4 linked regions of the Schizosaccharomyces pombe genome follow. The gene in region 3 interacts genetically with the main gene of each other region. Each region holds a gene or a part of one and is shown on either strand. Other genes may lie near its edges. The genes, in order: gdt1, amo1, klp3 and btb1.

Region 1 (7,458 bases), 830 kb from region 3:
AAACATGAAATTTCATTCATCACGAAAGAAGCTTGACGTACTTCTCTATCCTTTTAAGTTAACAAAACTTGAAACAGTCATGTAAAATTTACGGATGTAAAAAAATTATTCAACGTCTTAATATAATAAAAAGGTCAAAAAATGATTATTCGGGTGTAATATTTTCTTATATAAATTATAGGATCAACTTCTTAACTTCAAAGTAAAATTTCGTTCCAAAACATCACCTAATTAGTCTTGTCAATTTGAATAGTGTTTTTTTTTTCTTGTCTCAGATAATTGATTGCAAACACTGGGCCAGTATATTACTAAATCAGAACAATTACTCCGGCAATATCAACCCCTATGATATTCCCGAACACCCTACTTCCACCATACAGACATACGACATTCTACACCTCATGCTAATTTAGATTTAAGTTGGCAGGTATCGAAGAGTCATATTAGCAGTCGCAAAAAGTAAATTAATAAAATACAAACATGCCTCAGGGTACTGGTGAATGGTATCATACCAAAACAGCTGTTCCAAAAAACTTACAAAAAATGCGTTTCCTTAAGTCGTAATGTTTTCCATTGAACTACAAACAACTACTTGTAGCCGTGCTCTGATATCCTAATATCCCCCAAATTCAGTAATCAAACTCTGGTGGTAACCATAAGCGAGTACATTTTTTGGAATGCACCCTAGATTTATAAGTAGACAAGATAGACACTATTCGCGAAGAAATTTGCGAATTATGGCTAATGAGATAGTCGTAGCTGGATTAACATCGCTACCAGATTTATGCACGCTAACCATCAAACAAAAGCCCCAAGGAAAAGAAAGAGATTGAAAACTTCCAACATTTTCTTTCATAGAAGTAGCTTTTACTTCCCTACAGCAAAGACATCCAAACTTGAGTTCCCGAAAACTCAGCAGAACCTTAAGAAGCAAATGCCTAATTTGCACCAGTAGTTAAGGAATAAAAATTTGTTTTTGCTACACGAATTAAAAGTGACTTCATTAACTTCTTTATTTATAATCAGCTGGCAGTCTTAACTTCTTCTACTGCTATGTAAAACTGACTGCTGTTTTTGAATCACGGAACCACATTCGTAAAACGATCTACGTTGTAATTTCATAAGAGTAAATTCAATTGAGTATAACCTTACACCTTACTATGGGCGATTGATGATTTGTAGAAATAAGAATTGCTTTGAACTAAAGCCTACTTGCTCTACCATAAAGACTGAATGATTTTCATTGGCTAGTTTTTCATCGTTTACTCTGATCCGTGACATTAGAAACTGCGTTTTTTATTTTATTTTTCCAACTGGATGATCCATCCATACCTTTCAGAGAAACTGAAGAGTTAGTTCTGGAGTTTAGTCTAGAATTTGATACTGATGAAGCTCTAGAACGAGCCTCTAGTTTCTCAACCACAGAATTACCAAGAACATGCGGCAAAGGGCCACTCAAACTCCACACCGGCTTGTTGGGTTTTCTTCGCGCATTTAATTCTTCGTAAAGAGGATCGACAAAATTTGAACGAGGAGTTTTAGAATTATCCTCAAGTTTTCCAGCCAAATACCCTTCAAGCCATTGTTGAGCATCTGGGTCTGCAAATTTGCTTAGGTCCTTAAGGTTTGGAGAAGAGATATTCATTTTCAAGGCATCTTTAGGTCTCATTTGTCGTGTAAGATTAACATAGGATCTTTTTGAAGCTTTTGGTTCATTGGATCGGCCATCATAAACGTGCGCATCGTTCGATGATGGCAATTGAATTCGTGAAGAAGTGTTCATATAATATAGAATGAAGAGGAATGACCTCAACTTATATGGAAATTTCACGATACGTATTTGGATACACCCGGACGAAGTTTAATTGATTTATGAAGAAGGTGGGGAAATTTTCTTACAACTTTTTCTTTTCGATTTTTTAACAAAATGCTTGCGCTTTAGTAAGGAAAAACTATTGAAACGTATGAAGTTTTCTTTATGATTGCTTCCACAACAGATAATCCTTTAGTATACGCATTCGCATATGTGCCTATCGGTCTCAAGTATTAATGTGGACAATGTAACCGATCACCTTGGTTATATAATTTACAGCACAACCTCTTTGTACTCGGTATTTCACAGAATCTGAATGGGCCGTGGATAGGCTAATATAATCATTGAAACCATAGGTGGTAGTCCTTTTGGATCGTGTAGTCGGTTCGCCATTTTTTATTGACCTTTATGTCATTATGTCATTATAAAGAGGAGTAGCTGTACTTCATCCGAAGTTCGCTTAGTGGGCTTCGAAGTACTACTAGTCGACTCCTAATGGAGTTTTAAGTGGGGTCAGGTTCATTCGGACTCCATTAGAGTCTATCTCTCATCTCAAGAGTTTCCTTTTAGTAAAGAGTAAGTAAGTACTGTCAACCAACTTTTCTAATTTGTAGCTCTCATTATTTTTAAAGAAGCGATCTATGAAAAACGTTGCAATGGAGTTAGTATGGTCTTTAGAGTAATTGTATAGTGACAAAAAAATAAATAAATAAATAAAGAGAAAAATACAATTAATGAGAAAATTGTAAATAAGTATTGAATATTGATATAAACAAGTTTTATCAAAAACAGAATATGTCAAAAATGCAAATAATAGTATAAATAATTTCTAAAATATACATTTGTACAAAAGTAGCTATTAAATTACTAATTCCATATATAGTATAGTACTTGAAGTAACCAGTATACAGTTAATTGTACGAAACTATTGCATTGAAGTTATTAAAAAATAGTATCAAAATACAGAGAATTTGGTGCCAACTGACAGATAAATTAGCAAAATAAGTCATTTCCGATCAAAATAATTTTCTCACAACGAGTAAATGGCATTGCTTTTTTAAGAATTTAAATCCTTTGGAAAATCTAAATAAGGACTTTAAAGAGTCGTATGTTAACGCTGAAAGCATTATCGGAAGGTATAAAACGTAGCAACCGTTGAAAATTATTTCTTCACTTAGCTATAAAATATCAAAGTAATAAAAATTGTAACCATCATCATCAAAAGCCTTGAAAAATGTACAGTATCCCAAAAATCATGAATACAATCCCTCCAAAGAACAGTACCTTATACATTTCGATTTTATTTGATATGTATCTTCCGACAATCACCGCTACCATTGTACACAGCATATGACCAATATTCACCCCAATGAAAACATCAAGCACCTTCTCCTTTGCCGACATAACAATGGTAGCAATTTGAGAACGATCCCCCAACTCACTAACAAAAATTAGTGCGAAAGCTTTTATGAAAGCCCGGGAAAATTTTTTCGAAAACAGATTTTTAAAACAGCTCATACTAAAGACTTTGAAAAATTTGTCTTTAAGCGTAGAGCTGCTTCTATTGCTGGCTGGTAATCCCAATTCTAATGTTTTTTTCATATCTTCTTCGTTTACAATAATTTTTTCGACTTTGTCAAATTCATTTTCAAGAGACTGTTGACTTTCTCTGACCTCTTTACTCTCTTTCAGCATTTTTACCCCAAATATCAAGAATAGTGTTCCACCAAGAATATGTGTTATCGATTTAGGGAACAGAAAAGGGGCAGCACGCCCAACTAACACAGCAAACGAAGTCATAAAAAAAAGAGCCAAATATGAACCAAAAAAAACGGATGCCCGTCCATATTGGTATGCCAACAGAGCAGTAACGATGAAAGATTTATCTCCAAGCTCACAGCCTATGATCATTGATATTGACATTCCAATGTTTTGAACGGAACCATGACTAAACTGCAAACTGCCTAAAGTAGTTTCCAAATTTAAGGGACTTTCAACATTAATCATGATTCATTTACGTTAGAGGGTAAAGGAAGATAAAACAATGAATAAGCAATAACTCTAATCGACAGTTATTTGAAGCTTCACTCAATAAAAATCTAAAATTTGCAATTCAGGTGGTTAGGCACAACGAAAGTTGGTAATTGATGGCCAATGCTGATAACGAATATAATGATGTCTCAAACTTAAGGCCTTCTAAAATACAAACAAAAAATTTCGATGTTTAAAACATTATCGAAAATTACAACGCACACTTTATGTATAGAAGAAGTTGAGTCACGGATGATCCAATCCGAAGCTTAAAGAAACAAAATCGTTAGATTCTACCAACACGGATGTGGGAAAACTTAGCTTTTCACCGGAAAAAAAGTAATATATAAGCATGGGAAAATTACCGACCATTTTTATTTTGTCAGCTAGGCAGTTTGGTATCTGATTTAAGGATACGTAGAAATGCGGCAAGTTTTCCTTGTGATCTATTATATTGCGATACACAGGTAGTAGAAGTAGCAGATGAGTATAGGCATTGTATTATCTAGGTTATAATGTTACCAATAACTGATATTGCTTATAACATTTAAAATAGCAACAATTTTAACTGATAGTTAGTTACTTTATCATAAATGATATTACAACCGTATTAATAACTTATTATGTGAAGTTGATAGAGCAAATAGAACATTATGAACATGTGACGTATAATGATACGCAACGTAGTGACTGTATTAAAAATTTTACAGGAAACCAAATAGTGATAATCGTAGCACGTCGAACATTAGGTTTCACTATTTCCAGTTTATCTTTATACATCAGTAGACATAGCTAGATAAGAGTTTCAGATTGTATCTTGCTAATCAAATTTTTTTAATATATAAACCCTTCTCAGTTAAGCTGTTGACAAAATTATTTAGCTTTACTTAACATAGCTTTATCTGCACGAATGGCATTATATCCATTCAGGCAAGTCGATGTGTTTTCTACTAAAGGATACGCTGGTAATCCTCTGGCAGTTTTTTTGGACGCTGACGGTTTAAACAGCACGCAAATGTAACAAATCGCTAAGTGGACCAATCTATCCGAAACAACATTCATACAGAAGCCTACCATCCCAGGAACAGATTACAGAATTCGTATATTCACACCGGGTTGTGAGCTTCCATTTGCTGGTCATCCTACTATCGGATCATGCTTTGTTTTGTTGGACAATAAGTCTTGTAGTGCCAAGAAAAATAAAGTAGTGCAGCAATGTAATTCCGGCCTTGTTGAATTGACGTTACATAACGAAGATGTCAATCAAACTTGGATATCTTTTCAAATTACCGAGTTATAAGACTTCAAGTATCTCACCAGAAGTAATAGTAGATTTGGAAAAATTTTTGAATTTATGTGAAGGTTCATGTTCACAATGCAATACTCCTTTTTGTGTAGATGTTGGTCCAAGGAATGCTATAATTCAACTACCTAACGGTGCTGATGTTTTGAACTTGAATCCTAATTTTCAAGCTATTTTTGAGTGCTGTTCAAAAAATTCGTTGACTGGCGTCCAAATTTTTGGAATGTATAACGACGGGACATACGAACTTAGAAGTTTTTGTCCTGTTCATGGGGTAAATGAAGATCCTGCTAATGGGAGTGGAGCTGGATCAGTTGGTGTATTTTTCGCCCTCAATAATCCATCAATAATCTCTTCCGATTTCGCTCATTTATTATTTAATCAAGGAAAGATATTAGGCAGAAATGCTTTAATTCGAGTAGCTATCAAGTTGTCTGCAAACGGATTATACGATATTCATGTTGGTGGCGGATCCAAAATCTGCATTTCTGGAACTGCAGAAATCTGATTTTTATTTAACAAAAGGACTGATAAAATATTCACTCGTTAAGTTACTGATAAATATTGAAAATATTAAAAAAATGAATAGGGTTTGTTTTATATCGGTATCCTAAAATAGCAATTAAAAATAGTGATATTCAATATGTATTGATCAACGGATTTTGAATTTATTATTCATTATTTTTTCATTTCTTTTCTTTCGATAAAAAAAGTGATTTCTTAACCAAAATCGGTTCTGATTTTTAATGAATTAGAACATCGCCCATATAACATACCACATGTAGAGCATGTTAAAGATGTTTTACAGAGACTGAAAAATGCACATTTGATTATCAACCAAGCAAAAGCGCAAAATTTTACAAACTAACAAATGAATTTGTAGGGTATCATATTTATGAAAAGGAATTTACATTTTGTCAAGAAAATATAGACAAAGTCCTACAATGGAAACAACCTAAGAATTGTAAAGAATACCTAAAATTTCTAGGTTCTGTCAATTATCTAAGAAACTTATATAATCTGCAAAGTCAAATAAACAACATATCAACAGAAATACCCTTGCCATCATTAAACTACTCAACCATTGAAAATTTATTGTATTTACCTTATTCATACCTTTTCCCTTTTTTTAATACAAAATAAGTGTTGGGTTATACGATTAATGGCTCTTTATTAGATGTTTTAGTGTTCGGGTATCGGGACTTTGTATATTCCATAATAATAATAGCGTGAAAAGTTATATTGTTGCTTATCATTCGAATAAAGTCATAATAATTAAATTTTGTTTCTTTGACTAAATACAATTTTTCGGTTGTGTGTATTGTTAATGTAAATTGTTATGAACGAACTGAACCAAAACTTAGATGTAGAAATTTATTCAGGAGTGTATTACACTATATTTGTTGAACCCTTTAAGCGCTATAAGTTTTTTGGATTATTTTATATAATTAAATAAACCCGCATATGCATTAGAGTTGTTGGGCAAGATAATGTGACATATTCTGAATTTCTCCATTCAGCAGCGTATGCGACCTTTTTTCTAACCTTTTTTAGGTAAAAAATAAATACAAATAAAATGTTAAACTTAATCTTTGTATCAAATAAGCAATACATATAACTCTTAAATCGCTAAAACTTTCATTTTTTATAACCTTCATTCTTCCATTTAACATATTATACGATATGACATATTTGGCATGTTAAACGTGATTATATTGATTGTATAGATGAAGTTGCTGTAAAATTAGTTCCACTATTACTACACAATGTTATATAGTGACCAAACCCGTTAATTATACACTACATTTGGAATTTTTGGGATAATAACATTTATGATAGCTATTGAATTTTAAACTTGTACTATTTACTCAACTATAGGTTAATAGTGAGCCAGATGTACGATAATACTTAGCGAAAACATACTAATTCATCAGTAGGTCCGCTCGCCCTACCAGAGTTCGGTAACTGTAAATAATTTGAACCATCACTGATTGAGGTAGAGTCTGAATTATTTTAAAGAGGAATGTTGATCTAATGGTTTAATGAAAATGAAAACTGTGACAGTAGTAACTTAGGCCAAATTAATACGGCTTATATGGAATGTAAAACACAATCGTTGAACCAGGCTACAAAGTGCATTTTTATCCAGAATAAAGCGGCATTAGTCAAATACAGATCCGCAAATTTATTCTGCCATTAATGTGTCGTAGAATTGGGATGATATGAAAGAAGTATCATTTGAATTTTAATTTGTCTTCCTTAAGATTCCTGTATGTTCACTTATCAAAGACTTTTTTCTAATAAACTAACG
Region 2 (7,092 bases), on a different chromosome or scaffold from region 3:
GATTTTAGGATTTGACAACTTAATATTTCTTAATGACGCTATATGAAATTCGTTAATTCAGCAATAGTAAATCAATGGATAGGATGAAGAACAATTTTCGTTTCAATATAAACGACGTTGTTAAACATTATTATTAGTACAGCCTGATTATTGTTATGTAGTCAATTTTAATTACATTATAAATTTGTAAGTGATTTCCTCTTACCTCATATTTCATTAGCGATCAGTGAATTTTGTTTGAGCCGCAGAACAACTTTCCGTAAATAAATTACTTTGAATACTTTGCCATAGTAATCTGTTAATTATTATGCGATATCCAAATTTGTTATTCTTGGCCTTACCGATATCTGAGCACTATATCGAGGAATCTTTAAAGTATTTTAAACTAACATCTAATGATCCCATGATATTATCTGGATTTCGTGGCCCTCGTGTCTCACATCTTACTATTGGTATGATCCCGGTTAAAAACGACGAAGACGTTCTCAAGTGCATGGATTTTTTATACAACAAAGAGGATGAAATCCGAAAATCCTATGGCGAGAAAAAGATTACAATCGATTTAAAGGGAACTTCTTTCTTTGGGAAATCTCCTCAGGAAGCCAAGGTGCTGTATGCTACTCCAGTGGACAAGCATAATGGTAATGACTTACAAGCCTTTTGTGGTACGGAGTTTTTATTTTTTTTATTAATAAGCTAATTCATAGAATGGTTAAAAGTTATTTTCACTGAACACAATCTTTTTACTAAAGACGCTAGACCTCTTACTGTACGCATTATGCGATGTTAACCAAATTATAATTTTGCTAACAAAACTAGCTACACTGCACCTTGTTAAATTCCAGGTATATAAAATACCAGGGGCGACGTATCAGGTTTTTTAATTCGGAACCTTTTATGGAAAAATACGGTCAATTTCTTTGGGCTCATAATATTGAACTTGATAAACTAAGTATTATGAAAACAGGCGCTGTTGGAGAACCGGGTAATATGTATTATGAAGAGTTAGCCTCAATTCCTTTACTCGTTAATGATTGATTATAAAGGTAGTAGTTGTTGTTTACAAAAACGCTTTTGGAATCGATTGTTTACCACATGATAGTCACATGTGTAAACAAATATGAAATTGGTCATAGAAGTAATATCGGTGCAATTTATAACTCATTTTGTTTTGACGAAGCACAAATATATAATATAGCTCCTTTTACCATCATTTCTCGAAATTGATTGAAATTTTGGAAACTATTCAAATTATTTTGAGATCCTTTATTATAATTGATTTCACATATACATGCTGATAATTTGACAATGGAAGACAAAATTGAAGGTAATAAACGAACCATTCACATCTTTTAACACATCTCATAGTTTGCTTGCAAAAGGCTATTGCTGTCGACACAATGAGCATTCCGGTAATGCAGTTAAAGCATGAGCGTAAGTAGACTAATTTATGTTAAATTATTAATTATTAGTTGCGCTTAAAGCCCGAGAAGAATACCTCCGAAAAGAACTTCCTTTGAAAGTTCGAGCAAATACTTCTCGCATGAACCCCGGAGCTAAAACTTGGATTCCACAAATTAATCACCGAAAAAGTAGAAATCATTATAATCGTAAAGAAACATGCCAGTTTCCCCCTCTATACAATGTTGAAGCTAAAATAAACCATTCATATTCTGCGTTTTATCGTCCGTTTACCAAACGTGAGAATGGTTTGTGGTATGCGAATCCGTATTATATGCAGCATGGTCCAAACGGAAATTACCATCACGTTTATTATTAGTCATGTTTTCAAAATTTTGTGCCAATTTTTTCAATTTCATTCAAAAACCGCATCTTCATCATTATGGTTATAATCGACGCCGTTAAAAAACCAGGAAAAAGAATTTCATAGTCTTAATTTCTTTATTTTTTTCTTTAATCAGATGTCTACAATAATGATTTTTCCATTAATTATTTTCTTCATCCATTGCTATGGTATACAAGCACTTTAGTGAAAACCGCTGTATTACTTTAAAGTCACTGCTTTGCGTACTTCTCATAAGGAAGCAAATTCAGTTAAAGTGCTTATTGTCATATGCCCCATTGCATTAAATATTTATAATCTGTACAATTCATCAATCCATTGAAGAAGCAAATCTTTGTTGGACGGCTTGTAACAATTCTATTCTTCAGCTTATTGCACTTCAAAATGCTCAGAAAAGCGATCTCTACAGCACGAAACTTTAAATATCCTTTATTTAATTGCGAAAGGAGGTTTTCTTACTTTGATATGTTTCGTAGTAAACGAAAATTTACAAGTGGTATCCTAACGGAGCAACTAGCGTTGAAATTAGATTCTGAACTGGGTTACGTGAAACAGGTTCTTGATGAGACATTACCTAAAAAAGGATACGAAAAGGCTCTTCATTCTTTTATAATCCATGAAGATCCTTCGCTTAACTACATTTCAGCTTTAAAAGAAACGGCAAAGGAAAGGTAAGCTATTTTTCCTCAATTGTTTGTTGAATTCAACGATGTGATTTCATGTCTATGCGTTGGCTAATATACAACGTTTAAGATTATGCTTTCAGCAGAGCCTTTAAATTTCTTTCGATATAATAGTACTAACGTAGCTAGAATACGCGTTACTGTTCCCGTATATAGCTCTCGTAAAAGTTACGTCCAAACAAAGCCGATAACGCATAGTGCTGAAAATGAAAATGGTAACGAAACATCTGATGAACTAGTGTTCTTTCAGCATTCAATTCCTGCTTATGTCCAACTCACTAACGTAAGATCTTAACATGTTATTATAACTTACAATTATAGAACCATGGCACAATTTTGTGTGCTTTAATACTTTGTAAGGGCATGCTTCATTTTGATAGCATTTCTTTTCAATCACCTCAAAACTCTCAAGCGTTCTCATCTGACTTGAGGTTAATTTTACAAAAATCACAGAAGTACACTGGCAGAAAAACAAAGCACGTTCCAGCTTCTATCAAGTCAAGTTTACTTGAATTCTTGGATGAACAAGGAATTACAGTAAAATTCATGAAGGCGCTAATATCTCGCAGTTGGCGAAAAGAAAATGTCTCCTATAAGCATTGGATTCATAATATTATTGGATTTATTTTACCTTCTGAATCATCAACAACTAAAAAATCAGACTCCCAATGATGGTATAATTGTTCTTTGAATTCCTTTACTTTATGATTAATTGGAGCAATAACGCTACACCACACTACGATTCCAAATGGGACGCCCACTCTAAAAATAAGAAAATTTGGAGTATAACATATGATTATGATACATTTTTATACTTATCTTTAGCATATCATTTCAACTATTCAACAACATGGTCGTTTGTAAGTATTTCCTTCAAAATCGGTGCAGGTATGGTACCAATTGTAAAAATCAACATACGGTACCTTCTAATGGACAAAATGCATTTTCTAAGGTTAATGTCTTTCGTCCAGAGAATGGACGACCTCCAATATGGGTACAAAGGCGTTTGAAGAGAAGCGATTTAGATAATTTGCTTCCCAATAGAAGAATGAAGGATATTAACGACGATCTTAAAAACGCAAAACCACAATGGCCTTTTACAGGTTATTCAGTAGTTGAGAATCTACCATCAATTTATGAAGGCGATGTTTCGCCTGAAGAATTGCGGTGGTGGGCATATCAGGCTAAAGCGACAAACAATATGCAAGCATATGAACAACGCCAGAAACAGTTGATGGATGATGTAGAAGCAAAAGCAGCAGCCGTTAAACGGTCGCCTGCTGCTGCTTTCGATGAAATGAGAAATAAACTCGTCGGAAAGACAAATTATAAGTCAATTTTTGATAAGTCTACTAGCAATTCAACGGTTACGTCTAATCAGTTCAACAAGCCAACTCAAAATAGTCCTTTCAATTCTTTTTCAAATAACAATAATTCTTTCAATAACAATCAGCAAGCAAACGATATTTTTGGCGCCCCTACGACTTCTGCATTTACATCGCAATTAAATGCGTCTCCATTTTCTCAAAATACATCCTCAAATTCATTTACGGGAAGTAATCCAGTCCAAAACAACCCATCTTCTTTTGGTTCGTCTAGTTTTGGTTCGGCAACCTCAGGGCCATCAGCATTTGGGGGAATATCTCAGCCAAATTCGTCATTTGTTAATTCCGGACAAGGGATTCCTAACTCATCATTCTCCTCGTTTTCACAAGTTGCTTCTGGGTTTTCACAAAGTCAAAATGTGAATGATCCAAGTTCGATTTTCGGTCCTACTGTTGCCAGCGGTTTTGGAATACAGAATCAGCCTCAGCAATCAGCTTTTCAAAATTTGAATACTCAATTCTCGCTTCCTAATAATTCACAACCAGTTTTTGGTCATACATCTTTAACACAACCAGTGAACCCAAATGGTTTTACTGTTCAGCCCCCTGCTACTTTTATGCAACAACCTCAAGGCCCTTTTGTTCCGCCTAATACTACTTTTGAATCTCCATTTGCCAATGTAACCTCTAAAATATCCGCTTCAGGATTTTCTAACGATAATCCTGCTAACAAAAATATAATCCAAACTCCTATGTTTGGATCTTCTAACACAATTGACGGTAAGTTTTTTTACTTTGTATCCTTGCTAGTATACGAATATGACTAACGATCATCGACAGGTCCGATTAATCCAATAGGTGCTTCTTCTATCCAAACTTTGGATGATCAAGTAGAAATGAGTAATTCCAATCAAAATCTCGCATTTCCCCCAGAAATGATTCAGCAATTTGAAGCTCAAGATTTCATTCCCGGAAAAGTTCCAACAACAGCCCCTCCACCACAATTTTGTTAATTATTTTATTAAAATAGTTATTCAACGTAAGTTTTTTCGGGGATTTTTGATTAGTATTAAACTTTGTTCAAATTTCATATTCGATATTAGGTTGTAAATATATATATATATATATATATGTAATTTCAATTACGAGTATTAGACAAAGTGTGATGCTTTCCTACACGGCTATCTGATAAAGTTGTACCTAACTCGATTTATGTATCATTGTAAAATTCTAGAAAGAAAACAGTACTATTTTTTGTTATTAATTCATGAATCAAACTGATAGCTGATTTGATATAGAGGACAGAACTGTCCTGCACGCCTATTGGGTCTAAAGAGATGGTTGTCCCAATTCCACACACAATTCACTCCAGATTTTTGCAAGAACCCAAAACTTTTGTTTATGGCTATTTATATATAAATCTCAATTTTATTTAATTCTTTAAATGTCTGCAAATATTTCTTACCTAGTCAATCCACCTACAGAGGTCGGTTCATCAATTCCAGCTGATACTGAACATGCCATTTCAGTTACTTTACCTACATGGAAATCCAATGTTGGATATGAAGAGGGAGATCCTAATGTAACTACTAAAATGAAGTCAGGATATCCGAGGTTCTTTATAAGCGCACACGTCAAGGATTGCATTAGCATCATAAAGAAATTTCCAGAGATTGAGATTTTGAAGCTAAAGGACTACGATATGTTTTTGTATCCTTCATTATCCGTTGCTAAGCAAAGTGCAGCTTTTCTTGAAAGTAAAGGACCTATAGACTCTGCGGAAGTCATTATTTATGATGCCACGAAGGGACTGCGAAAACATCTTGATTCAATTGACCGAAATCGCAAATATACTGAAGAAATACACATACCTCAGGTTTATTCTGTATTGTTTCCATCCAAATACTTTGGGATTGCCAAGCAATTCTGGCAACATACGGGGGACGGTATTTCAAGCAGACGCGCAGCTGCTTTTCTGCATTCCTACAAAAAAATTCAGTCTATTTCCGAATTTTTGGTTGCCCAGAGGTCTATTTCTCATCTCAAAAGTAAAAGCAGAAGCCGATATGCTTCCCATCCAGATCTACAGGCTTTGAATACTTGGATGACTAACGAAGGAAACCAAGCTAATGATGAAATGGAAGACGTATCCCTATATTTGGAGGAGAGATATGGGCGTAATTTAGATTTAAGTTTGGCTACAGCAGCTAAACTTGTTCTTCGACGACGTATCGCTGGTACCTTAAAAGATGAAGTTGATTTGCAAAAGGCTTTACCCAAAGAAGGGTCTCAGTATTTACGTGAAGTTAAAGGTTTAAGTCACGACGATGTTTTTTTATTTCCTACTGGCATGAGTGCTATTTACAATACTCATCGCATATTAAGGTTGGTGCTTGATGATAGCCGTAAAAGTGTTTGTTTTGGTTTTTGTTATGTTGATACCTTAAAAATTTTACAGAAATGGGGATCTGGCTGCTACTTTTATGGACTAGGTAATGACGAGCAACTTGATGAGTTTGAGAAACGGTTAGAAAGTGGAGAGAAAGTTATGGCATTGTTTTGTGAGTTTCCATCAAATCCTCTTTTAAACTCTCCCGATTTGGTTCGTATTCGGAAATTAGCAGACAGTTATGATTTTGCTGTCGTGGTTGATGAAACAATTGGAAATTTTGTCAACGTTGAGGTTTTACCATTAGCAGATGTAGTTGTCAGCAGCCTCACAAAGATTTTTAGCGGTGATAGTAATGTAATGGGAGGTAGTATGGTTTTAAATCCGTCAAGTCGTTACTACTCTCGAATAAAAGATGCTATGAAGGCTCTTTATGAAGACTTATTATATGATGAGGATGCTTTGACATTAGAAAGAAATAGCAGAGATTTTGCTGAACGTTCACAAGTGATAAACCATAACGCGGAAACAATTTGTAATTTGCTTTATCAAAACCCTAAAATTAAAACTCTATACTATCCCAAATACAATACATCAAAAGAGCATTTTGAAGCTTGCCGGAGAGAAAATGGAGGTTATGGTGGTCTTTTGTCTGTCGTTTTCCACAATCCTGAAGATGCGCGCCAATTTTACGACAAAATCCAAGTAGCAAAAGGTCCCTCACTTGGTACAAATTTTACGTTGGCTTCTCCCTATGCAATTTTAGCTCACTACCAAGAGTTGGATTGGGCTGGTGAGAATGGCATAGATAGAAACCTTGTTCGTGTCAGCGTTGGAATGGAACCCAGCGAACACCTGAAAAATGTTTTTATAAATGCTCTTTCATAACTT
Region 3 (8,421 bases):
AACCTTGGTGGTATTACTTTGCAAACCTTTCATTGCAGCACAATATAGTGCTATGGTTTGCCATGGCTTGCGGACCATTGGTTCTTTTAGCTGCCTTTACCAACTGGATCAACCTTGATTCGTTTTTGGACCTTTCTTCCGTAATTTCTCCTTTTTACATTTGGTTATTTATTTTCATTATACAGCCTCATAAAGAAGAACGTTTCATGTATCCGATTTATCCGGTGCTCTGTTTGGCAGCAGCTATAGGTTTGGATATGTCATTAAAGTTAATGATTCAAATTTTATCTAGTATAAATGAAACTGTGAGATCAAAGTTTCCGGTCCGGTTTGTCGTTCTTTGTGTTTATGCAATAATTGGATGTTTGAGCATTGCTCGTATATTGGCTATTCAAAATTATAATGCCCCTATGATAATTTATCCAGCCATAAGCTTTTTGGAAACAGATAACAACGTGACTACTAATGTTTGTGTTGGTAAAGAATGGTATAGGTACCCTTCTACTTTCTTTTTACCAGATAATTCACGCCTAAAATTTGTAAAGAGTGAGTTTGACGGTATTTTACCCGGTGAATTCGTTGAATCTAATTCAACATGGTGGAACCGTGAAGGCTACTATCAGATCCCTGAACACATGAATGAATTCAATAATGAAGAGCCAACTCGTTATACTTCTCTTGAGTCTTGCGATTTTTTAATAGATTTAGAGTTTGATCATTCGAAGGCCACAGTCAACGAACCGATATATTCAAAGTCTGACGGTTGGATTCCAGTCATGGTGTACCCTTTCATTGACACGAAACAAACTCCTTTTATGGGCAGAGCTTTTGCTGTCCCCTTTATTGAGCCTAAATGGGGCCGATATGAGATATTGGTGAAAAAGCCGGTCAAGATTGATTTTTCAAATTTGCGTCGTGCCTCTAAACAACAAGCTTAAAATTTTTAAGAGAGTGTATGTAAGCCTTTCTTAGGTTGTTATTACTAAAAATTGTAAAAGTCTTTGCAAGCATATGTCCAAAGCTTTAAATTCTCTAAGAAGAAAGAAAAGGCTGTGGAAACTCAATTACATAGAAAAAATGCGAAGTTATTTTACATTTGATTTTCCAATTTGTCAGATATTTAATTAATAATTAGTGTCAAATAATCTATCTAAACGGTTGACTTGGCGATGTCAGACAATCTTAGGAAGTCTTAGTACATGAAATAATAAAGTTCTTTTATTCATGGAATCGGTTAGCAATTAACCTAATGCTAATATCTAAAGCATCCGTATCTCATGCATCAAATATTTCAACTCGCATATATCATTTAATAAATCTAATCTACAATTTTTTTTCCTTTGTAAATATAGGATGGACAACAGCATGATTTTGAAAGACATGAGCACATTGGTGAGTAACAAGAGTCATAAGCGTTCAATCTGTTTTATTACAAATGCGCGTTCATCATTAAACTGCTCATCATTTTTCCGGTCAGTATGAAAAGCTGACAAGTAAGAAATCAACTTTGATTTGTTCCTCCTTAATATTTCGATTACTTCTTCCGACTTTTCAGGATTAGCAACAAACAATTTAAAAACATGAAAAGCTTCAAATTGAATGTTTTTACTCTTATCTCTCAGCAGAATCATCATTAGTTTCAGATTCTCAGCAGAACTAATATAGCGTGTCATGACTGAACGGTTAGCACGATTAAGAAGAATTTCCCCTAAAAGCTTTAAAGATTGACGTTTGGTAACATAATTTTCAGATTTCAAAAGGACAGTGTATTGCTTAAAAAACTCGTCAAAATGGTATGAAATAAACTCAGCAACTTGGGATTTATGATTAAGAAGAATAGACTGATTAAAGTTAGTAAATGCAAAACTAGCGGGAGTATATAAAAACATTGCAACGACAGAAGTTTTATTTGGGGATAATACGTACCTTAAAAGTCGAAAACGCATCACTCGCCATATCAAAACTAGAGGCTTGTATCAAACTAAAAAATGTCCAAAAATCTCGTGAGTTTAAAAGTACCTCATTAAGGGCTTCATGACGGGAACACTCACGAAGGATAGAACCAGCAGTAAAAGCTACTTCCTGGTATCGATAGTATGAGACCAATACTGGAAAGATTTGCGGGTGCGCAAGCATGTAGTCAACAGTGGGATATCTCGATGCTACATGCCTCCTAAGTAAAGCGCTAAATATTAGTCCTGTATCCTTTTTAGACTCAAACTCCAATTTCGGTAAATATCGAACGAGTAAAAAAGGTAAATTCGACTGGTAAATTTGAAAAGATAAGTCTGATACGAGATCAGCATCAGGCTCTACTTCAGCTGTCCCACACAATGAAACCCGTAAATTCTGTAAACATTTGGAAACTTCCTCAAAGGACTGTTTACGTTAGTCATCTAAACGAACAAAAACAACAATTACTAATAATTAATACCTTCTTTTTATCATTGTTTATTTCCAACTTTGGGAGATTATCACATAAGCAGCGAACAACATCTTGGGTTGATTTTGGTCGTTTATTGAACAGAAACGACATGCGGAATTATGGAATTCGGTTTCTCTAAAAACTTATGGCATATGACAGGGTAAGTAAAGTGGGTGCCAGGCGATGGTCCACAGTGGGGGTCTATTTTCATATTCAGTTGAATACTATTAAGGTACACTTCTTGAGTATTCAAATTACCTTTACTTATACCTGAAGTGATACCAATGTGGGGGTTGTTACATCTCGATTATACATAAGTAATCAAGTATTGAAACGCAGGTGCATTTAGATGATAGCAAGTGTACTAAGTAGATCTATTTATGAATTATGCATTTTCCATACCTTTTTCTCTTCGGTAAATGAATTGGTAGGTTGGTATAGCTAGTAGAAATACAAAGTAGTAAAACAAACGTTTTTTAATGCTAATGTTTGAAATAGTATCTGGGATAAACTTGTAAATTGCAAATACATCCAAATCTCCATATAAACTTCACAATTTAAAAAAATTATTTAATTTAAAAAAAAAAATAAATAAATACCTGCGAGGTTTCTCGTTCTTACCATTTAATCAAATTTTCATAAATAAATATGTGAGAAATTGCAATCCAATTTTCGTCACAGATATTAATCAGACGAAGGGTAAAATACTCTGCTTAAAATATGAATCAAGATTGAACAATCTTAAGAATTTTATACATGTGTAAATCTTCAAATAATATCAGGAAAAAAAGAATATGTAGAAGGAAGTAAACAATTTTAGCCTGTTGATTTGTAAATTTATTTTTTTTAATTCACACTTCGAGCTTTAACATTAAACAATTATGTAGTTAATTACATGATATTATTCTGTTTTTGATACGTTGCCTTAAACAACAATTATTGTAGAGGCACCATGTTAGGTTAACCTCGTCTTTCCCTGTATATGAAATTAGCCCGCTCACATATTGTCTTTAATGATTTTTTTGGATGTATGGATCTAATTTATATACTGCGTTTTAATCATACATTATTTGATTTTTTATCTTTTTATAAAGCAGTTTTACTCAATGACTTCAATTAAAGTAGTGTGCCGAATTCGGCCCACGAACCAGTTGGAACAAGACCTTGGAGGAAATAATGTGATATACCCATTAAACGATTCTACTGTTCATATCGAGGTAGGTTTCAACAATTGATCTTTACTTTAGAATTCGGCTGACATGATTAAAAGACTAGTGATTACTCAGGAAACTTTGTATTCGATCGTGTTTTTCATCCTTCTAGCACTCAGAATGATATATTTTCGTATTCAATTGAATCGACAGTCGATGGTATGTGAATGATAGTAAAACTTTACACGGCGTTGAACGGATTAATTTCATCGTTGTCAGCAACAGCTTGTATGAAATTATAGCATAGCCTTTTTTTATATGCGCTCGTTTTGACGCTTCATTTGAAACGAATTGCCATTTTAATACATTGTTCGAATCACATTCAAGTTGTTCTGAATTTCATTAAATATGTACTAATATATTATAGACTTATTCTTGGGTTATAACGGAACAGTACTAGCCTATGGACAGACAGGATCCGGCAAAACATACACCATGATGGTATATTCACAATTTCACCTGGCACACTTTTCTAACAATCTTTAGGGTATTGAAAATAATTTCGAAAAAGAAGGAATGACTCCAAGAATGCTCAGGCGTATTTTTGACAAAATCCGCGATTCACCATCTACTACTGAATACGAAGTGAAGGTATCATACATGGAAATCTACATGGAAAAAATTCATGATCTACTTTCCGGTAAGCCTTCAAATGCCGTAGAAATTTTGCGACGTTCGTATTTAATTTCAGCAAAATTAACCATGATTTACAGAAAAAAATGACAGACTGACGGTTCATGAAGATAAACTTCAGGGAGTTTATGTTCAAGGTTTAAAAACGATTTACGTATCAAGTGAAACGGAGGCATTGGATATTTTAAATAAAGGTATGGGGTCACGTGCCGTTGCAAGTACGTCGATGAATGCGCAAAGTTCACGGTCTCATTCTATTTTTGTACTCGAAGTTGTCCAAACGGACACTGAGTCCGGCGAAACTCGACGAGGCCGGTTGTTTTTAGTTGACTTGGCAGGTTCCGAAAGCGTAGGAAAAAGTGGAGCAGTCGGGCAAACCTTAGAAGAAGCAAAGAAAATAAACCGTTCTCTTTCAACTCTTGGAATGGTTATTAATTCTCTCACAGACAGCAAATTATCACATGTTCCTTATAGAGATTCCAAGTTAACGCGTATTTTAAAAGAGTCTCTTGGTGGAAATTCTCGGACCACTCTAATTATTAACTGTTCACCAGATTCATACAATGCAACAGAGACCTTATCTACTCTTAGGTTTGGACATCGTGCAAAGAGCATCAAAAACAAAGCGGTAGTAAACTCAGAACTTTCTGTTGATGAAATGAAAAGACAGCTGTATATTTATAAAGATGCTTTGTCTCGTTGCGTTTGTGGAGCCAGAATTAACAATAACTTAGACTATAATAATTGTCATTCTAACGTATGGTCAGGCGAGCATTCCCTCACACTGTCAAATCTCGCCGAAAAATCCAACTTAAAGGAAGCAGAAATCATTCAAGGAAATAGAACAATTCAGGAAAGTAATAATGACAGAGACGAAAGCACAGTTGCTTCGATACACAGACATAACTTTGATTCTGATTCTATCAATCGTTTGTATGCTGAAGCACAACTTGAACTTAAACAACGAGATGGTGTTTTATCATCCACTAAACAGCAATTGTCAGACCTTATGACTGCATTGGGCGATGCTCAGGAGCGGTATGTTGAGCTTGTTAAAAACCACAGAGTAAATTCAAATCTTACTGCAAACAACTCATTAAATGACAAACCGGGTTTTACAATAGAACAGAAAGATAAAAATTTTTCGATAAATAACGAGAGAAACAATTTTTTACAAAAACTGAGTACTTTGGATTCCTCACTGGCTGCTCTAGTAAATGTTCAACGAAAATTGATTAAAGCTTTAATTTCCAAAGAGCGACCTCAAAATGGAACAGTAATTAAGAAAATTCAAGGGGGCACTTAAAAGCTACACTTTTTTACTCTGCTTTGCGAAGGATTATATATGTTTAATTAATTTCTTTAGAGTTGTTGAGCTCACATTTAATCATGAAATATTGCATCTCGTCTAGCTGCTTTCTGAATAAACTAATTTTCTGACTAATTATTTATGCAGCTTCTTTTATATTGCTGCAGCATTATAATATAAAAGAAAACAGCTACGCAGCAATGCATTGTTTATATGCTTATTCAGCAAATGTGTAACATCTCAAATGATGATGTAATAACAATTCAATAAAAATTTACCGTTATAATATAATCAGCGAATTTAGTAATCTGAGACTACTATTCTTTAGCAAGGATTGACTATTGGCTAAGCAATCATTACCTTTTTTAAGCTACAACGAACTGTAGTTTAAGTGTTACTTGCGATGTATATAATCTTATGTAGGATGTTTATCGTAGATGGTAAAATGTTGTATCAATATAATTATGATATTGAATACACTAACATAACCACACATATATGGCTTATAACTGAAGTCAGGAAAGAAGGTTTGAATGTATCAACATAATGCATTGTTATAAAACTACTAGTATAGAAGATTTACACTAAGGATGGAAATACGGAGAATCATGAATATTATGAAAAGTTGAACTAACGCAGCACAGTATAGTGTAGTGACTTGTTTCTAACAGAACGATCATATTTACTAGCCACCAATCTTCGCTAAACAACATTTACGCGATCTTCAATATCCATTTACATTTTGCTAACACAACTTGTTGAGTTGTTTCATTTCCCTATTTCGAACACTTTTTACCAATCTTCAGTGCTGTAAAGTCGCTAGGAAAAAAGCGTTTTAAATGGTACGCTTATAATTTCCATTGCTGGTTGCCGTGGTCAAATAACTCAAATACATCAGTTTTTTATTTGAAACGATCTTTATAAGATAGCACTTTCTTTTTGGTAATTACAGTTGGAAACTTTGTTTTATTTAGTATCTATACTGGCCTGTAAATTTAGTCTAAAAAAATGAGGCCACCTGACGATCAAATCAACAATAACGTTGGTTCTAATTCTCACTTGGAAAAGTTGAAAGAGGTAAGTGATTTCAATACTTGGATTCTCCTTTTTTAAATATGAAATAAAATGTGATATCTCTTGTTACTTAATTAATTTAAATTACTAACGTTTGAATAAGGCCATGGACCACCAGCTGCAAAAATCATCAAAAATTGTAGGATCGTTTACTAATTCTCAAAACTCTTCTGTTGGCTCTGTTCATTCTCCGATACTTGAATCTCCCACCAGTTTAAATAGGCAGCATCGAAATTCATTTTCTTTCAATAATGTATCTTCTCCTTCACTAGAGGATGAGCGACTTATTAATTTTCCCCGAGTAAATCCAAATCGATTGATGACATCCAAACGTCCCAATGAGTTATTTAAAACCTCCTCAATGAGTTCAGATTGCTATTCTCCTCAAAAATCTAGGGAATCACTAAATTCATTATGCCATTCACCTGCTCCATCCGTTTCTTCTTGTGGAAATGCTTTGAACAACGATAATACTTCTGCTTCGCACTCACTAACTGATGAGCAACCATTTGAAACAGATTCATCCGCTAACTTATTTAAGCAGTTACAGGAGAAGCGTAACCGTACCATTGGAAATGTGTATGAAATGGCTTGCTTATTGGTCTTTAAAACCGGTTTGATGAATTTCTGGAAAAACATTATTGACTTTTTCGCTCAGCAGTTTTTTTCCACTCAAATATCTGTTGTAGAACCGCGTGACCTTTCTGACATATACAATACTCCTTGGCAACTCAGATGTTATTACGATGGCGGTTCCCATTATGATCCGTATAGTAACCCTATAAGTGTTAATGACAACCTTGCTAGCAGTTCTTATGTTACCGTAGTTGCTTCGGATGGTTCAAAGGGTATTATATACAAAGATCCAGCTTCTCTTAAACATGAAGGGGATTTGCTTATTGATAGCAAAGTTGTACAAACAGTCTTGGAGCGTGCGACATTGCTTGTATATACACGTAAACAACAGCACATTGTTAAAAACACCAAGGTTCATGATAATGATTACTTTAGTTCTATACCTAATGTTGATGATATTCGCAGCATTAAGAATTCATGGAAAGTTTTTCATGATGAAAAACTTAATGAATTGAAAAAGCAGGTTGAAATTAGTGCTTCTGCAGCTCAGTTAAATGGACTTTATCCACAGAAAAAGAGAGCATTTGTTTCACATTTCAGTCAGAATCGTAAACCGTATTCCCAAAGTGACATTTCAAAAGCACAAAGTTCGTCTTTTTCGGAAGAACCTTCAAACATTTATGATGAGTATGAACAAAATTTACTTTCTCCTTGGTCAAGATCTCCAGTTGCTAGTCCCTCCATTCAAACAGATCCTAATAGGAATCCATTCTTCCAAAATTGCTTGCAAGAATCTTCTTTCGCTACTGAATCGTCAACAGAGAAGTCTGCTTCAGAGTCCGTATCAGAAACAGCTGTTAATGATGATTGTAAAGGTATGAATTTTTCTGGTAACAGGCGTCAAGAAGATCATTTGAACGACTTCACCAGTTTTCCTACTGAAACTGCTGTCAGTATTGTACATGTTCCTCTGATGTTTCCTTGTTCGGATCAAACTTCAAGCCGTGGGAGAGCTCCAATTGCAATTCTTTCTTTCAAGTCCAATTTAGTTCCTTATCCGGAAAATTTAATAGCCTCCATAGAACGTTTGATACCCTTTATTTTTTCTTCATACTCAAATTCTCAATCTGTTCCGTTACTTCCTTGTCCTACACAAAGGCATCTATTATTTAACACGTCTAGCACTGACAATA
Region 4 (9,803 bases), on a different chromosome or scaffold from region 3:
ACAGTCCAACTCAACCCATTCCTCCTCCTCTGTTGCTCTAACTATGTGAGTGGTGGAGACTTTTGGTGCTTCTGTATTTTGTTTGGCAGTAACCTGCACTGCGCGAATGGGTCCACGTGGGGTAGACGTACCAGACGAAGAATTTGAAGGGCCAGCAGCAGCCTTTAACTTTTGTGTATATTCATTTACATGTTTCATTGAGGGCCTCAGCTGCGTTAAACCGCGCAACGGCACAATATGAAATTGCCCGTCGCGAATTAGACCGACCATCAAATTGGTCCTTGGTTTCTGAAGTCTTCCAGAAAGTGTTTGGGTCTGAATTGGCTTTTTGCCGTTACCATATTTCATTGCCTTATCCTCATTATAGTATTTTGTTGTAGGAATGGGTACATCGACCTCCATCCAGCCAGTCTTCGGTTTCACTCGAACATCGATTGGTGCTTCACCATTTGCATCACTGTATGTGCGGTTTTTAGGACGAAGGGGAAATTGATTTAGTAAAAGATTATTTCTAAGTCCGGGTGAGAAAAATACCGGATATGTCCGCACCACTGGATCCTGCTCTTCAGTTTCATCATTTCTCAGTTTGGCTTCTTCCATTGCTTGATCTTCTGAAAAGGACATTCTTTAAGTCTTTTTATCTATTAACTTTTCCGTAAATTATCTTTATACCCTTTTTCCCTGCAAAAAGTACTGTTAAATTGAGGCGACAAATTTTTACCTAGTAAATGAAATCCTTTGCCAAAATATTAATATACCTTTTCCACTTTCCAATCAGTTTTTTAATACAATAGCTGTCTTCAAAAAATGCAGAAAATCTTTATTGTGAATGCCTCTCGACAAAATTTCCAAATTATTAAAAGAAAATGGTTTTTATCAAAATATAAAATTGGTCGGTTTCTATAATTCGAACTCCGGCCTTTTAACATTATTGCCTACAGCGAGCGAATTGCTAAGCGGAAAATATCTTCCAATAACATACTGCGCAATTCCTCTAGCTACCAATACCATTTGTTGCAGTACACATATAATTAATCAGTTGAAAACTTGTGTCTGCATCCATTTTTTACACTGTACAACTATTGAATAAGTATTCTTTTAAAAATTTGAATTATCCCCCTTTTTTTTTGCGACCCAATTTGACCATGTTCGCAACTCGCTCATTCTGCCTAAGCTCTTCTTTATTCCGTCCGGCTGCTCAACTGTTGCGCCCTGCTGGCCGCTCTACTTTACGAAATGTTTGGAGACGCTCTATTGCAACCGAACATTTGACCCAGACGGAGGCTAATTCTCGTCTTGCTTCCCAGCGTGTTCACCGTCCAAATTCTCCTCATTTGACTATCTATGAACCTCAATTGACTTGGTATCTATCCAGTTTACATCGTATCACTGGTTGTGTTGTCGCCGGTACTCTTTATGCTTTCGCTATGGGCTACTTGGTGGCTCCTCTCGCTGGATACTCTTTGGATACAGCTACCATTTCTGGTCTTATTCAGCAAGTTCCCACCTGGATCAAAGTTCCTGCTAAGTTTGTTATTTCTTATCCTTTGACTTTCCACATTTTTAACGGTATTCGTCACTTGATCTGGGATACCACCAAGGAGTTAAGTCTAAAGGGTGTCTATCGTACCGGTTATGCTGTTCTTGCCCTTTCCGTTTTGACCTCTGGCTATTTTGCGATGATTTAGGTGAATGGAAACAAACCTTATCTTTGCTCGTTTTGTAATTGCTTGTCACGGTTTCTCTAGTGAATTTACGAAGCAGCATCATTTCTCCTATAATTTTTCCACTACAATTGGATCTGTCCTTGATACACTATAAATTACCGTGTATATCGAATTCTTGTATTCATTCCGTACGTGCTTTGAATTTCTTTATGACCAAAGTTTCCTATTCAATTTTATTATTTTCAAATATTGAATTTTTAGCGTATGTAAAATGTGTGATTGGTATCGTGAAACAAAAGCTTAATAAATAATTCACCATGTAGCAAATATTTTTTCTTATACATATCTATTAAAGTATCTCTTCATAAGTTGAATAAATTAATGTCCTGAATTTTTTGTATATAGTCGTTGTTATGGTCATTTGACTGCACGTGCTTTTCCTTTCTTGTGAGTAGTCCTTGGTATATCAATAGGAAGAGATTTAAACTCCGCAGTGGACTCTGACACTTTGGAATCTTTTTCCTTTCTGTGCCTTCGTTGAGGTTGTTTAGAAGCTTGTCCCTGTTTTCTATTCGTAGAGGTATCTCTTTCAGTTTTAAGGATTCCAAGTTCTTTCTGTACTCTCAAACTCTCCTCCTCCCACCACTTTTGAAACTCCTCTTCCTGTTGTATCTCCTCAATTGTTTTTCTAAAAGATGATCTCCTCTTTTGACTCTCAATTTCTTCTTTCTGCTCAGTCATAATCTCCGAAATCGATAAAGGTTGGCTATTTTTTGGTAAAGAAGCAGATCGGGGAGATGGTTTAGTAAGTAGGTTCCAACTAGTTGGAGAACCATTGGAAATGCGCTTCTTCGATTCTTGATAAATTACTTGAGATGAACCTTCCTCTCGAGCTGCCTCTCTAAGAATACCATTAAATGACTTTTTCACTCCAGTTGATGACGAAAAACTGCCCCTCTGATGTGTTGCTACAGACCAAGGGTTTGAGTGATTCGATTTACCCAACTCGATATCGATGTGGCCAACATTTGTTTTGGAAATAGGCACTTGCTTTGAAAGCTCCTTTTTTTTCTCACGTTGGGATTTTTTAGTTGGAGCTTTCATAAATCTAGAATCAGACAAAACCGTAGTAGTTGAAGCATCAGCTTTCTCTTGCTCCAGCAATTCTCTAAGACTAGCTCTAGTAGTGTTGTTATTATGAGAAAGATTTTCCCTATTCCTCCATGGACTCGTTTTGTCAAAAGTAATTGTTGCAGTAACAGGTTGATCAGCCCCAGGACCATTTAATTGTGTTTTATCCCCTCCTGACGAAGCAGACTCTATATTGTTTTGAATTTCAACAGAAGCTCCTGCTGTCTTTGTAATGCTCGTAACGTTAACAACATTTGGTTTAGGAGACTTCTCCTCAGCATCTTCCTTATTTAATGAATCACTTTGATTACTTGAAGGAACAATTCCAGATTCTAAAATTACTGCTGAAGTGCTGCATCGACGATCTTCAAAAATAGACCGATAAGGGGAATCGTCCCATAATTGAGAACTTTCCTGGGAAAACAAGTATTCTCTGAGAACTTTAAGCTCATAATTTCTTTTTTCCATCAACACTGGATCTCTTATCAATAATCTATTAGCAATCTTGCTAGAAGGAAGATGTACTCGTTGATCAGAAAGCAATTCAGTTAAACGTTGAGCGACTTTTTTTAAATGGAAACCATCCCATTCACTTATACGATTTGCTTCCAAAAAGAATTCAATATTGTGACAAGCATAATCAATACATCGTGAATAAAGCTCCTCAGCGTGATAACTAAGTGAAAGATCCATTAGAGTAGGTAGAGTTTTCAAATTTAAAAAGCGAAGTAAGGATTGCTGGGCTATGCTTTTTAGTTCAAGAAAAAGAAGCTCGTCTGCAATAGACAAAATTTCGAACATAGTTTCCAACCAATTATGAAAATCGGATTCTTTCAAATCGTCAAAAAGCTCAACTTTTAAGTCACTGTATACATGACGAAGAACAATTGACATATGCTCAACAGTCAAATGAGACAAATTGACGGTTATTGGGATGTCAAAACTATTGCTTTCCATAGAAACAAATTGGAAATAAGAACTAAAGTATTCACTGCGGAGACTTAAAAAAAGACCATGTGCCTTGAGCTCTCCATCTTTAAGCTTTATTACTGTATCCATTGTTTCTTCGCATAAGACATAAAAATTATTATATAGTTGCAGAATGTCATTCGTTAAAGAAAGCAAAGGTTGGCGGGAAACACTAAACGGTAAAACCTCCGCTAAATGAGGTAACTCCAGTAAGTTTGCAAGTTTTGAAAGGTTTTCTTTTAAAGGTGAAAAGCGTGAATCAAGATGCCATGGAGAAAGCAATGTATCCGTGTACAAATAATGCAAAAGAATAGCAACCGCTAAAGGAGGAATATCTTCAACTCTAATTGTTGAATGAGATTGAGTGATTTCTTCAATGTAAATGATGTTGGAGACACTCGATTTCTTTTTTTGTAGCAATAATTTTCTCAAAAATGAAGATCGAGCACACAATATGAACTTATGTGAGTGGAACATAGAAGTACCACAATAAATAGTAACATCAGAAAATGATTGCTTATAATTTTCATAACTAGTAAGAATCGGTATAGATCCTTCAAAAAGTAGCTGCATCTCATTGCTGGATGCAGCGCGGTCTTCGTCAAAAATAGGGACTCCGTCTTCATCTTCGGGAGGAATCAAACGTGGTTGTCTTACATGTAAAAGGTGGTCATAGGGAAGTAGTGAGCGCAAAAGATCAATTAACATATTCGAAGGCTTGTAGATTGGCGGTGGAAGATAATCATTTCGAATTGCAAAAAATGATCCAGAAGCGCTCGCACGGACTCCAACAACCATTTGTAAATTTTCAATTCTATTATATTTGTATGGTCCTCTAGAATACGGGCTACTAGATGACTTTTCTCGCTTTTTTGACCTTAACTCCCGTTTCCAACAAGTGCCATTTCTAGTACATAGTATTAAAGAATTATCAGCGGTCCACGCAATATCTAAAGCTGCAAGGTCTGAAGATTCAAAAATCCATAATGGAGTAAATTTGAATGAAGTTCGTGTGGAATTCTTGGAAGAGGTAGAATCACGATCAAGTAAAAGCTTCATATCAAATTCATAGACTTCGCCTAGTTCTGTAAGCACGGCTAGTTTGTTTTCTGAAGCTAATAATTTTCTAACGTTAAATCTGGTGAGGGAAAGAGGATGCTTAGTTACCTTTAACGAACTACCAAAGTCAACGTTGAATGGCAATTTCACTTGATTATAATTGCAAAAGGCAATTATACTGTTGTTTTGTAAAAGGCATATCGTAGCACGAGTAGTACAAACGGCATGTATGACAGGCGATAATAAGCCAGCAACTCTCCTTGGAGTAGAAACAACTGAAATATGATCAGATATACCTAATTGGCCATTATTTAACCCCCAGCTGTAAATATCAGTGTCAGTCCAAGCAACGCTATAACTTTTTCCAGCCGCCATTCCAATTATCTGATAATCCTTGAATGCAGAGATACGCCTAGGGGTAATTTGAATTGGATCATCCTTTTTCAGTTCGTCATTAGAAAGTCCCAGTTCACCAGAACCATTCTTTCCCCACGAATAAATACTTCCGAACTTTGTAAGAGCAAGTGAATGGGTATGACTAACAGAAATCTGGATAACTTTATGAATGATACCAGGAATAGGAATAAAGTTATATTGAACGTCCGTGTTAAAACCTATTCTCCCTCCAGCACCAATACCACATACGTAAACATTTTGCGACGGCTCATCCGTTAGTACGACGCTGTGAAATTTGGAAGCCTGCACATCAAGGATTTTGTCTCGGGAAAAGAGTTGACCTGATGTGGGAGACTCTGTTTGGTTTTTCAGTAAAAACACTCTTTCTGGCGATGAAGGTTCTTTCCCATTTGCTATTCCGAGCGTATTGTTTACGTTAGTACCAAAGCCATAAAGTTCATTTCCTATTATCGGTAAGTCAAGAACCGGATGAATAGTGCTTGAAAGGACTCGTGATAAAAATTGAAATGGAGAAAGACCTTCTTTGTCTTTAATACGCAATGATCTGAAGGAGGGATCTTTTGATAAAAGCAAAGACGCTGCTTCCAAGTTGCCAACGTAGATTGCCCGATGCAACGCCGTATATCCAGATTCTTCATCTTGCACAAAAACATCAATGCCTTTATGCTGCAAAAGAGATCTAACAAAGGAATTTTTATTCTCAGAAACGGCGATGTGCAGCACGGTGCGTCCGTATCGATCTTTTTGGTTGATACGGAGTTTTTGTCCGCTCTTTTCCGAAAAACCCTTTCTAGGCTCTTTCACCTTTGAATCATCTTGCTTCAGTAGATTTTGGAATGAGCGAATGTCGTTGCAAAGGTAATACGCGAAAAGCAGATGACTCATTTAATCAATCGAGACTAAAAAAGGGCGCAATGTGAATTTATCATTTAATCAATCGATTACTCCATAAGAAATTTTCTCTCAAATCAATTAAAACGTTCCAGTTTTTTAACTTGACTGTTGCTGAAGAAAAAATGGAAGAAGAGTAGCAGTGGATGCTGGTAGTTGAATACCGACAGGTGCATTGATTTAAGCTATCGCTTAATATTTGAGGCAATTTTTGGGGCAATCTGATTTGATGAAATATGCCTGGGAGCATACTTTATTTATTCGCTTAAGCTGGAATGAAAGAGAGCATGTTACTTATGTATAAAATATATGAAAACAGAAAAAGAAAGAATAAAGGCATAAAAATGAATAAATAAATAAAAGTCATTGCCATCAAAAATTAATCTACATCTTTTAAAGTCATCTTTTTTTCTACCACTGTACTGATCTTTCGAGCGTGAAAGATCTTTCTACAATGCGGTCTGCACAGTGAATCAGTGGGATAAGGAAAGAAAAGACTAAATTCCCCTCTTCTCAAAGGCAAATGCTAAATAAAATCCTGCTGCTTCTTTTTCCTGTCCACCAATTCCACGGTGTCCTTCATTATCAACGACTTTCATTCGATCCATTAGGGGTCCATACGTTTCAGAGTTTTTCTCTTCATTTAAGATGTCCAAAAAAGGTTTTACCCATATTAATTCAAGATTGTATCCTTCGGCAACAGCACGAAAGGCTTCAAAAGGAACTACATATTCAGGAACATCGGTAACAGCATCCTCTAAATAAAAATAATATTGAATTCCATACGGAGGTCGAAAAGAGCGTGGAGGTGATTCAGGAAATCTGACTTTGTATATGTCATTTCCCCATTCTTTTTCTCCTGGTTTAAGCATTTTAATATGTTTGACAATTACATCGGAATTGGGAATCGTTCCTATCATTACTCCACCACGAGGAAGGCATTTAGAAACGTTCCCCAACAAGACCCTAACCTTTTCTTCGCTTTCAAATGCATAATGCATGCAAAACTGTAGAGAAACAACGTCAAATTTTCTTTGGTCTGGGGGAAGTAATTCGTTAATTGAGCTAGAAAAACAGTCGCCAGCGTAGAATAGTGCATCAAAAGAAGCATGCATTTCACGGTATCTCTTCTTGGCCTGATTTACGGAAACTTCAGCTATGTCAATCCCAATATATCCATCAATGCCAGCTTTGTCCCATTTAATTAAATCACCACCTTTTCCACATCCCATGTCTAGTACCAAAATAGGATAATCAGAAGCATGGGGTGCGAATTTTTGTATGAGAACAGATTTGATCCAGTTGTTAAACCTCTTTAGTTGAATAATAGGAGAAAATTGTCGTTTTTTATAACCCAAATCAGGACGCGCGTTATAGTGTGAACGTACCACATCCTGCGCATTACCATTGTTTTCATGCCTATTATAACCTCTGCGACCAGAGTTGTCATTGTTTTGGAAGTAATCGCGACGCCTTGGTTGTTGTTCAATTACTCGATTCATTTGTGCAGTAGGTCTCGCATATCTGCGATTTTCTGTTGGAGGCTGTTCCTCATGCACTCGGGAGTTCGAGCTGCTCATATCTCTTATTATAAATATTATTATAAATAAATGAGAATAGTTTCTTTCAAAGGTTAACGATCTTTCCATCATATGATGACTATCCATCGATCACAAACTTACATACAAATAATTTTCTTCAAAATAATTCAAAAAACAGAAACTTCTTTAAAAAAGATCAAAAACATATGACTTTTAAAACTTGCTTTACTGTCTTAGAGAAATTAGACTATATTCAATAGCATGAGGTTGCAGTGTGGTTGGTATACTGGCGAGAAAAGTAGATGTTGCAATACGAAGTGGATTACCAGATTCTTTACATTACCACAGCTAAGATATATATAATTTGTTGACAATGTTTTCAATTCAGCCAAATTTAGTTTACATATAAAAAACGAACCTGCTTCTAAATAAATAAATAAACAAAACTTGAAATTTTGGGCGACTAATCTACTACTGCCAGATTGCAACAAGAAGTAATCATAAAACAATGATAGATACATAAAGTAGATATTTCATTAAATTGCTTATTGCTTACCTATTAAAAACCGAAATTAATTTTTTGAGCACACGAATCCATCGTATGCGAAACCCAAATACCAACTTGCTAAACCAAAAATAAAGCTAAATGAAGATGTATACAACACAGAAATTTTTTATGAAAAGTGACAGATAATGTATGCACGCCTGCAAATGTTTCTATATCCGCCAAGTAGTGGTAAACACAAATTTGACAGTTCTACCGTGCTTTGGTTACATGTTTCGGAAAACGTTTTTGCTAGCTGAACGTCGACCTTGAGTAACTTGTTTCTTTTTGCCAGACGTTGAATCCTCGTCTCGATTAACAGGTTTAGACTTCTTTTTCTTTTCAACCTTGAATGTCATTTCCATACCAGAGGGAGTACTACGAATGGTTTCTTGAGGTGTCTTTTCATTGCTGACCTGCTGCTCCGTCTTTCTTCTGTCAACAAGTGCATCGAAGGTTTCATTTTCTTCCTCCATATCAGACAGTGACTCCTCATCAGAACTAAACTTAATACCCTTGGTATGTTCCTTTTCTTCTTCGGACTCTTCCGCAGCAGTAAGGCCCCTTGCTTCAGACCTAGAAGGATGTAATTGCTTATATTCCAAAGTATCTTCATCCACTTCAAATTCTTTATCTGTGAATACATTTTTGAAACGTTCGTCTTCAAGGATGCTAGGTCCGTCCGTAACGCCAGTTTTCTTACGCAACTTGTTCTCTTGATAAGATAATCGAGATGCCAATCCAGCATTGACTTTTGGACGATTCTGAGAACGAATCTTGCTTGCACGTTGCTTCTCCAGACGTTCTTTGACAATTTTTTGACGATGTTCCTCATAAGAGAAGGGATTAGCAATCAGTCTTGCCTTTTCATACAGATTATTATCAATAAAGAAACCATGCATGTAAGCACGAATAACACCTGTTCCAACAAGATGATCTAAACCGAGATTAAGGAGTTCTTTCTTAGTTACGAACTTATAATCATCATAAATAGTAGGCGCGGGATTTTCTTCCATTTCTTCTGTAATATTATCGAGGAAGGAACACCAACGGGGAGCAGGATTTAACGATGGAATATAGAATGCGTGCATAGGAGAACCTTCATTAGCTGTAAGAATTAAACCAGTACCCTCAATGGGACAAACATCGTTCAACTCAACCGTAGGTTCAATAGAGCTAAAAGGCTTCCCTGTATCCTTTTCCCAAATCTTAATGATTTTAGAGTCAGCAGAAAGTACCCTCGCAGTTCCATCTAATGCACTATCCATCCAGTGAAGAGATTTAATGGGCATGCTGTAACCCTGGTCTTTGCTCATGTAAGGACTTGAAGAACGTAAATCATATAACAGGGTGGCACCATCTGAAAGGCCAATCGCAACATTAAGTCCATCGTTCCTATATTTTAAAGCTGTTACAGAACGAGAATTGTCGGAATAAGGAGTAGAAGGTACAGTGCTAGGAATTTCAAGTATTCCAACTCTAGAGCGATCACGAGGATCCCAAAATTCGACACTGCCAGCATCTGTCCCAAAAGCCAACAATTGGTGCATAGGATTTATATCTATTACATTAACACCACCAGTC

The links.
Region 1: mutations in klp3 (region 3) and gdt1 together harm fitness less than expected from each alone (positive genetic interaction), as found in Schizosaccharomyces pombe (one large-scale study listed by BioGRID).
Region 2: mutations in klp3 (region 3) and amo1 together harm fitness less than expected from each alone (positive genetic interaction), as found in Schizosaccharomyces pombe (one large-scale study listed by BioGRID).
Region 4: mutations in klp3 (region 3) and btb1 together harm fitness more than expected from each alone (negative genetic interaction), as found in Schizosaccharomyces pombe (one large-scale study listed by BioGRID).

What each region holds. Positions count from the first base shown.
Region 1 is NC_003424.3:5,537,319-5,544,776, forward strand, and holds gdt1 (GDT1-like protein), read right to left. Parts: upstream 4,164-7,458; 5' UTR 3,821-4,163; coding exon 3,032-3,820; 3' UTR 2,714-3,031; downstream 1-2,713. Other genes in the region: SPOM_SPAC186.04C (uncharacterized protein), read right to left, coding at 1,256-1,783; SPOM_SPAC186.06 (isomerase), read left to right, coding at 5,101-5,655.
Region 2 is NC_003423.3:3,026,438-3,033,529, reverse strand, and holds amo1 (nuclear rim protein Amo1), read left to right. Parts: upstream 1-3,304; 5' UTR 3,305-3,337; coding exon 3,338-4,592; exon of another isoform or gene 4,593-4,652; coding exon 4,653-4,825; 3' UTR 4,826-4,845; downstream 4,846-7,092. Other genes in the region: SPOM_SPBC15D4.13C (ASCC1 family protein), read left to right, coding at 308-641, 708-769, 820-1,038; protein mug98, read left to right, coding at 1,401-1,434, 1,473-1,780; SPOM_SPBC15D4.11C (Mam33 family protein), read left to right, coding at 2,189-2,475, 2,617-2,770, 2,809-3,159; met3 (cystathionine gamma-synthase), read left to right, coding at 5,257-7,089. UniProt on the Schizosaccharomyces pombe protein: Involved in the cell polarity process where it is required for the correct termination of microtubule growth at the cell ends during interphase.
Region 3 is NC_003424.3:4,703,384-4,711,804, forward strand, and holds klp3 (kinesin-like protein Klp3), read left to right. Parts: upstream 1-3,394; 5' UTR 3,395-3,531; coding exon 3,532-3,642; exon of another isoform or gene 3,643-3,695; coding exon 3,696-3,795; exon of another isoform or gene 3,796-4,003; coding exon 4,004-4,077; exon of another isoform or gene 4,078-4,122; coding exon 4,123-4,276; exon of another isoform or gene 4,277-4,349; coding exon 4,350-5,575; 3' UTR 5,576-5,869; downstream 5,870-8,421. Other genes in the region: mannosyltransferase complex subunit Alg9, read left to right, coding at 1-938; mo25 family protein Pmo25, read right to left, coding at 1,407-1,841, 1,927-2,379, 2,435-2,536; phosphorelay sensor kinase Mak1, read left to right, coding at 6,587-6,655, 6,756-8,421. UniProt on the Schizosaccharomyces pombe protein: Cytoplasmic motor that could play a role in Golgi membrane recycling.
Region 4 is NC_003421.2:127,842-137,644, reverse strand, and holds btb1 (BTB/POZ family ubiquitin-type ligase substrate adaptor Btb1), read right to left. Parts: upstream 6,251-9,803; 5' UTR 6,129-6,250; coding exon 2,085-6,128; downstream 1-2,084. Other genes in the region: DNA-directed RNA polymerase III complex subunit Rpc37, read right to left, coding at 1-624; sdh3 (succinate dehydrogenase cytochrome B subunit), read left to right, coding at 1,146-1,688; mRNA 5'-cap (guanine-N7-)-methyltransferase Pcm1, read right to left, coding at 6,632-7,714; rRNA processing protein Enp2, read right to left, coding at 8,447-9,803. UniProt on the Schizosaccharomyces pombe protein: Probable substrate-specific adapter of an E3 ubiquitin-protein ligase complex which mediates the ubiquitination and subsequent proteasomal degradation of target proteins.